Arabidopsis thaliana: one gene and its partner. The protein of the gene in region 2 purifies or fractionates together with the protein of the main gene of each other region. This does not show direct contact. Each region holds a gene or a part of one and is shown on either strand. Other genes may lie near its edges.

What was found.
Region 1: the proteins of AT2G07110 (region 2) and AT4G32175 fractionate together in Arabidopsis thaliana (co-fractionation; one large-scale study listed by BioGRID). This does not show direct contact.

The regions. Positions count from the first base shown.
Region 1 is NC_003075.7:15,533,585-15,538,396, reverse strand, and holds AT4G32175 (PNAS-3-like protein), read right to left. Parts: upstream 2,964-4,812; 5' UTR 2,843-2,963; coding exon 2,792-2,842; intron 2,709-2,791; coding exon 2,634-2,708; intron 2,498-2,633; coding exon 2,411-2,497; intron 2,036-2,410; coding exon 1,979-2,035; intron 1,598-1,978; coding exon 1,505-1,597; intron 1,395-1,504; coding exon 1,322-1,394; intron 1,238-1,321; coding exon 1,162-1,237; intron 1,074-1,161; coding exon 860-1,073; 3' UTR 795-859; downstream 1-794. Other genes in the region: PANK2 (pantothenate kinase 2), read left to right, coding at 1-51, 131-325, 425-496, 581-673; CYP96A2 (cytochrome P450, family 96, subfamily A, polypeptide 2), read right to left, coding at 3,105-4,625.
Region 2 is NC_003071.7:2,951,980-2,955,121, forward strand, and holds AT2G07110 (exosome complex exonuclease RRP46-like protein), read right to left. Parts: upstream 1,230-3,142; coding exon 998-1,229; intron 935-997; coding exon 834-934; intron 751-833; coding exon 631-750; downstream 1-630. Other genes in the region: AT2G07120 (F-box associated ubiquitination effector family protein), read right to left, coding at 1,626-2,612, 2,669-2,743.

The DNA of each region.
Region 1 (4,812 bases), on a different chromosome or scaffold from region 2:
AACGACGTGACCGCTATGGAACTGCCTGATATAGTCGCTGGGGCTGCTAAGGTTTAACTTTCGATTCTGTGCAGTGTTTATGATGTTCTTTCATGTAACTAACTCTTTTGTTCGGTCTTTACTCTTGAAGCACTGTGACATCTTGAGGAGAGCGGCAGAAATGGGAGGCTTACTTGTGGATGCGATGGTAAATCCAGGGGATGGATCAAAGAAGGATTCAACGTCAGCACCATTGATGGTTGTTGAAAATGGATGTGGAAGTCCTTGTATCGACCTCAGACAAGTCAGCTCTGAGCTTGCAGCCGCTGCCAAAGACGCTGATCTTGTATCTACAAAACCTTCTCTGTTTTCTACCTGACATAAACTTCAAACACATCAAAAAAGAGAAGCTTTGTTCTTTATTTGATGTTTAACAATATTGCAGGTTGTCTTGGAAGGTATGGGAAGAGCACTTCACACCAACTTCAACGCTCAATTCCAATGCGAGGCTCTCAAGGTTTAAACCTCACTTGACAGAAAATTTCAGCTCTAGAACTGTTATTGAAACTTTTGGCTGAAACCTTCTCTTCCTTTTTGGCAGCTAGCAATGGTTAAAAATCAGAGATTGGCTGAGAAGTTGATAAAAGGAAACATATATGATTGTGTATGCAGATACGAGCCTCCCTCGCTTTAACAATGTTATGTATCATTTCTTCAACCTTTAGACTACTGTTGTATACAGATTAAGCATTCGTCATGTGGCATATGTATTTTTATTTAGACTACACTTTTACTGTATAAAATTGTATTTGAATGAATCAAAATCACTTGCTATAAAGAGCATCATGAGGGTTCAGTTACATTTCAAGAACAATAACGTTTAGTCTGAAATTATCGCGAGCAATTTCTCAACCATGATTCTCTGCTGAGTCCCACTTAGAGATTCCGAGTTCATTATTGCATTGGCCACGATAATGACTATACGTGGAGCTGTCGCATTTACCCAAACTCTGCCATTTAAGCCCACAGCTATCTCGAACGAGAGTTTCTTTCCAAGAGCCTCAATGACCGGGCGCGTTGGTGAATTCAACAGCCTATAAGAGATGAGAAAGTAAAGTTGTAATGGCGAAAGAAGATAGATAAAGTATAAGGAGACATTTTTTATGAGGAAGTATATCTCACATTCTTGAAAGACCAGTTGAAGTTTCAAACATGAAACCATCTCTCAAGGGTCCAAATAATGCAGCTTTCCCACTAGCTAATACATAGAAACAAGAGACAATTAGTTTAAAAGGGATTAAGAGAAGCAGCACTGTTTTAGCCTCCAAAGCTTTTAACTTACCCTCGGTACAAGACAGCTCCGGATTCATTCCTATGTTTGTCTTGACAACCCGGAGATAAAGCAGAGTGCCTACCTGTTTAGTACACAAAAATTTGAACATTCCAGAAACAATCAATTCATAGAGAATGTCATATCCCAAATGAGAATTCAAGAGAGCTTCCTGAGTCATCAGAATGTACATGCCTCAAACTTGGGAATATTTCTTCGTGTTCCTCCTTCGAATGCAAGAACTGGCAAAAGTGCTAATTGAGGTCCTTTAATGTCCACCCAAAAATTCTGCAATGACATGATGAGTAAAAGAAACAATTCAGTACTTACTAAGGCGATGTTAGTTCATGCAAGAAAGCTTAACTGCAGCTGATAATTTAAAAGTCAATTAACATTTGTTTGTCCAATAATGGTATCAGTTTTCTTCTGATTTTAGACCATAACTTCAATACTCCCACCTATTTATTTACTGATCCAAGACCATCAACAAACAAGTTCACCTTTATTGGCTCAGAGAAATGAGGACTGAAGTCGCGGAAACTGACAAACATATATTTGTATCGTATTTGACAACTAAAGTATAATAAAATGCTTTCAGAGATGACCAGTCTGAGAGGGATCCAAAAACAACACAAGAATCTATACAAGCAATGATTTCAAAGGACTTACATCTGCCCTAGAATCGACCACGATTCCAAGAACATGATCATCAGGGCGAGGTATATACTGCAAAAAAAAAACATAATAACAGAGTCAGCAACAAAGAGAACGAGACTTACATAGATAATTAACAAAACAATATTCTACTAGAGTTTTGAAAACCAAAAATGGTAAATTGTCTTATCAAGCCAGATGTATATGATCAAATAACTAGGGAGAAAACTAGCAAGAATGATCCACAAAAGCATCAAATTGTCAAAATGCTACAAAAGGCAAATCTTCAATTCTTCATGATGCAATTGTGCCAGGTTATTTGTTACTTTTCTACTCATGATTAATCAAGTGGACCTAGTATCCGAGCAGATGACACAGTTATAATCCACAAGAAGCTCAATAGAGAAGCAACCAGAAAGGGAAGATTAGTAAGACCACTGAGCTCACCCGTTTATGAGAACTTTCGAGCCAATACTTATTAGGCTTGGAGTAACTTAATTTGCCAGCTCTCATGGCAGAGATAGCATCATTATCCTAAAATAAGCCAAAAAAACAAACACATGTCAATCTACAATTCCTTTTTAGTTGCAATTGTATATCACAAATCAAGTGCCCACTGGAATAATTGTTAGGATTCAAACAACACATAAGAAAGAGAAGAAGATGAAACCTGAAGAAGGCCACTTCCGAGCTTGATTGTTTGGTTATTCATGTTTGACAAATCAAGAACAACATCACCTGGAACCTAAAAATTGAAAACACCATGCTTCATTGTAACCAAATCGAATCGAAATCATAAAAAAGCCAACTTTTTAGAGATATACGGACCACAATCTGATTTAAGAGGCTTGTGGGAGAGACAGAAACTTTGGCAGCCATGAGTGAGGTGGGTTTTGGAGATAAGAACCCTAATATATGTTAAACTCTGTTAAAGCTTGTTCCTTGACGACGATGAGAACCCAGAAAGGAACAACACTGCACAGTCTCTTCTTTTTTTTGCACGCAAATTTTGAACCAAAACTATACCGAACCAGTCAATATTAGGATTTCGGTTTACTTAAACCGTAAAACTAAAAAAAAAAACTAAGAACCAAATCAAAACCAAACCAAAATGATTTTTTTATTTAATACATGAATAATTTCAAGCAGAACATCTCTTAGTAACAGTGATTTGAAGACCATGTTTCATTGACAATATAAAACCAAGAGCTGGCACAATCTTCTGTCCTTGGAGAACCTTAATGTCGTAGTTTCGTAATATCTCCACTGCCACTATCTTCATTTGAGTCATAGCTAGATGTTTACCTAGACAAGTTCTTGGACCGGCATTAAACGACAAAAACTTGAAGGAAGGCTCATGTTTTATGCCTCCATTCTCCGAAATCCATCTCTCTGGCTTGAACTGCGATGCATCTTCTCCCCAAACCGCTCGCATCCTCCCCAATGCATAAAGACAGATAATAATCTTAGAGTTTGCATCAACTTTATGGCCACTTGGAAGCACATCTGATTTGATTGGAGACTTGCGTCCGAAGGAAACTGGTGGGTAGAGTCTCATTGCTTCACACAACGCACCATGTAAATACACCAACTTGTCTACATTCTCTTGGCTATTTCCTGTTCTTGATAGATCAGTGTTGATGTTGATCTCTTGATGAATCTTGGCTACCACATGTGGATTTTCAGAGAGAAGCCAGAAGAACCAAGAGAGAGCGGTGGCTGTTGTGTCTCTTCCCGCTAGAATGAAAGCTAAGATGTTGTCTCTAAGGAACTTATCGTCACTCGGATTCAAGAGCTTGTACTTGGTCGTGTCTAGCTTTATGAAGGAAGTTAAAAGATCCTGACTTCCTCCATTGGAAGTCCCTTGTGATCTTTTAATCTCTTCTCTCTTGGCTGATATGTATTTGGCACACACGCGGTCAAAAGTTGCATTAGCTTCAGTGAGCTTCTTCTCTTGTCCGAATCCTATCCAGTTTTGCAGCTTCCACAAGAACCTTGGTTTAAAATGCCTATAAAGAATCCCTTCTCCAACATCGTCGAGAGCTTTAGCAAATTCGTCTTCAGGCATTTCAATGGAGAGAGATCTAGGATCAGAACCAGTTACAAGGATGAAAATTGTATCGAAAGTGAACCTCCCGAAGACGCTTTGCAAGTCAAGAGTTGTTCCTTCCTCAGCAAAATGATTAAGAAGGGGAACAAGACCGTACTTGAGTTTACTTGTCATGGTACTCATTGAAAACCTTTGAAACTCTTGACTATGGAGCATGGCTTGATAAGATTTCCTCATATTCTTCCATAGCTCCGAGTCCGTGGTGATGAAACTGTCTCCTAACACATCAAAAACATCTTGGAACTCCGGTCCTTTGATGTAGTTTGAGAAATTTGAGCTCATTATATGATGAATGTTAGCTGGATCAACCGTGAGCAACATATCCATTCCTGTGAACCGCGGTCCTTTGAATGGAAAGGTCAAGTCAGAGGTTTCGAGAATCTTCACGCTGTAGTCGTAGATTCGGTGAAGCGCCTTGAGCATAGCGGGTAGCATCCGGAGAACCGGCCAGTTCCTAGGGTACCGGCCATGAGGTTTCTTGAAGAGAAAGTAATGAAGGATGAGAAAGCAAAGGATAGCTACGGAAACTTGAAGTAAGCTTATTGAAGCCATTGGAGTAAGGCAATTGATAACACACAGTTTGCTGACACAATGAGAACTAAATTTATAAGCATACACTTCAGGGCACAAGTAAGGAGATGCTTTTTAAAATACACACTAAATTTCGTTATATGCACAAACTGCAAAGCACGTTTAATGCATGTATATCATCAAATTAGAAACTTGTATTAAATTGCCA
Region 2 (3,142 bases):
AAATCGGAATAACGATAGTTGTTAGCTTGATTTCCGCCAAATTTGTGCCGTAAAATTTAACTCTTAAATTAATTATGAAAAAGTAATAGTGAAATTATTAAGAAATGATTTCTTAAAGTTTGAGTTTTTCATTTAAAAATTTTAAATAATTCTCATTTCTAAAATCATTAGTTTAACTATTTTAATTAACAGTTAATATTTAAAACTAATTTAATTTTTAAACTAATCTTGAAGAAAAAAATAAAATCCAAACATGATACACATATTCCTTGCCTAAAAATTAGATGATTATTATGAAAAAACTAAATAAATATGCAAATTAAATATATCTAAGCTATTCGAGATTTATGCTAAGAAAACAAGTAATTTGAAAGACTGTTTTGTATGACTGTTTTGTATTTTTTTTTTTATTCTGCTAGATCGTTCAATATGAAAGAAGAAGAATCTCAAGGTAAATTTCTCGACTTCGTAAATTCTATCCTTCATAGTCTCCCTTTTTGTACATCATATTTCTTTAGAACAAACGTTTAATACCTTCTAACTGCCAGAATGGAGGCCACGGTAGAAGTTACACAAAAACATATTCACACTCTCAGTTTATGGGATTACAAACTTTCACTACTATAAACTCTATAAATACTCAAACAGACATTGTTTATACCGGATTATATGTGTTTCAGACAGCATTAGTAAATGTTTACCAAGGTGAAAGGAACATAAAAACGATACAGAACCACCATCATGTACAACCTACACAGAAATTACAAAATGAAAACATCAGATACAACTCAAGTTGACAATATATATATACACAACATTGAATAGTTACTCACCTGAATAATCACTGAGGTGGTGGTATTTGGAACAACTCTCAAAACACAAATACTCTGTAGCGTCCTTTTCAGTATCGTTTCATACTCTTTTTCAACTTTTCCTATCAATATTCAAAGCAAAAGAAATTCACATCTAAAAACCAAGAATCACCTGTACTACATACTCAAGCGACAAAACAAGCCTCTTTCTGAAAAACTAAACGCATTTACGATTACCAATCTATCCGGTTTAAGGCTTCCATATGACTTCAAACAAGCCTTCTCAGCATTTTCGTTCTTCTTCGTTCTTGCTTTAGGTCCGTATTGCGCAGATAGAACTTTTGTATCCTCTGAAAATATAAACGAGAGAGTTCCATGTATCCCATTCAAAAAGGATAAAAACAACTTTGTACCCATAATAGATATTGAGAAAGCTGATAAAGTACCTTCTGACCAACTAGGAGAGCCATGAGGACGATGAAGGATATTACGCGAATAAGCAAGAGGTTTCAGCTGACAAGTAAGTCTTTCACGAGTTATATTTCAAGTAAAAAAAAAAGATATAATCTTAAAAATTGTAACTACATAAGATAGTTTTAGTTTTATTAATTAACTACATAATAACGAATAAAAAATAAACATAAATTAGCAAAAACAATCAATAATTGTTTTTCACAATTTTCAAAACAAACTCACGCTTCACAATTTTCAAAACAAACCCACGCTACACGTGGGTATTTATCTAGTATAATATAAAAGACATGAAAAAAGAATCACATTTCAAAGACTGTTTGTACTCGAAAAATCGAAATTCTAAACTTGCAGTGATCTGAATTCCAAAGGAACCGAGGTCAAACTTGGAAGATGGACACATTGAGAAAACCCAAGAGAGACAGAATCTATTTGAATCTTCTTGCAGAAGTCTCCCCTCGCAATAAAGATGCAACCCACTCCAGTTTGATTGTCGTCACAGCACAGGATAAGGGTCATGTCATGGATGAAGTAACTAATATCAGAAAGCTGATGGAATAGCGAGGGAAAATCAGGTATTGACAGTGTCATCAAGTTTAACCACACCACATTATTACTAGAGTTAATCATGTCATTTGTTACCCAAATCTCTGTATTACTTGATATACGAGATTGCTTTAACAATGCAAACTGATCGCCCTTAAATACAGTGAGGACAAGTTTATCTCGTAAGCCAGAAACATGCTTCCCACAAGGAAGGAGACAAAAGTGCATGGATATTTCTGTGGAGAAATCAAAGCTTCCGAGAAAATGCTCACGAGTATCTTCATTGTAAGCAGTCCAATACAAATTTCCATTCAAGGACACATATTCACCTCGACCTGCCAGCATTGGCCATTCCGGGGAATCAATGAACTTAAACGCTTGAGACGCACATTCAAAGATCGCAAATCTGTGGCCGATTTTCAGTGTAGTGTCATAGAAACGACTAAAATACCCAAAGATCTTGTAATCCTTTTCGGGTTTACAAGCATCGTATCCTACACCGCAAAAACGGAAATCTCTGTCCTCCTTATACTCGATCCACCCAACCTGTCTTAACCATGGATTCCAAATGGTAACCCCTTGGTTCCAAAAGTCACGAAACAATAATCCATCGCAAGCCGTGATCCTGGTAAATGCCCACTTCTCAGCCTTAAAATGAAATTGACAGGCTAGCTCACGCACCTCTATCTTCGGATCAAAGTCGTCCAGGCCGATGGTTCCTATCGAATAAATCTTGGATTCGGGCAGGATGATAAATTGGGGACGTGCACAACCCAAGCTTTTCTTGATGAACCATTTGTCGTTGAGAAGATCGTTCAGTGTTTACATACGGATCTTACCCGAACAAGGGATCCAGGTGGAAGCCGACACAGTATCTCTTCCTCCAACTCCCACGGAAGCTTCCCCGACGCCATTACCTTTCTCCGACTTCGGTGGCTTTAGAGGAGAATCTATATATATACCACCGCGTGTACGACTCAAATAAATAAGAAAAGGAATATTTTTATCTGTTACGAAAATGAAATAACACCCTTTTTTGGGGATAATATTAAATAATTCTTAAAAGTAAATGTCAAATAATTCTTAATAATTATTTAGGAAAGAGATTTATCTTCCAATAATAAAATTACTGAATAATTATTTCTCAAGGATAAGAAGTTAAAAACATAGATTTGAGGAATAAATAAAAAAACAATTATTCTTTAAATTGTTTATAAAAAAGAAAGAAATATATCTTTCAATAAGAACTGCATATTTTTGTAAGAAATAAGAAAAAAAATTCATTTCTTAAGAGTTAAGAACAAGAAGACAAT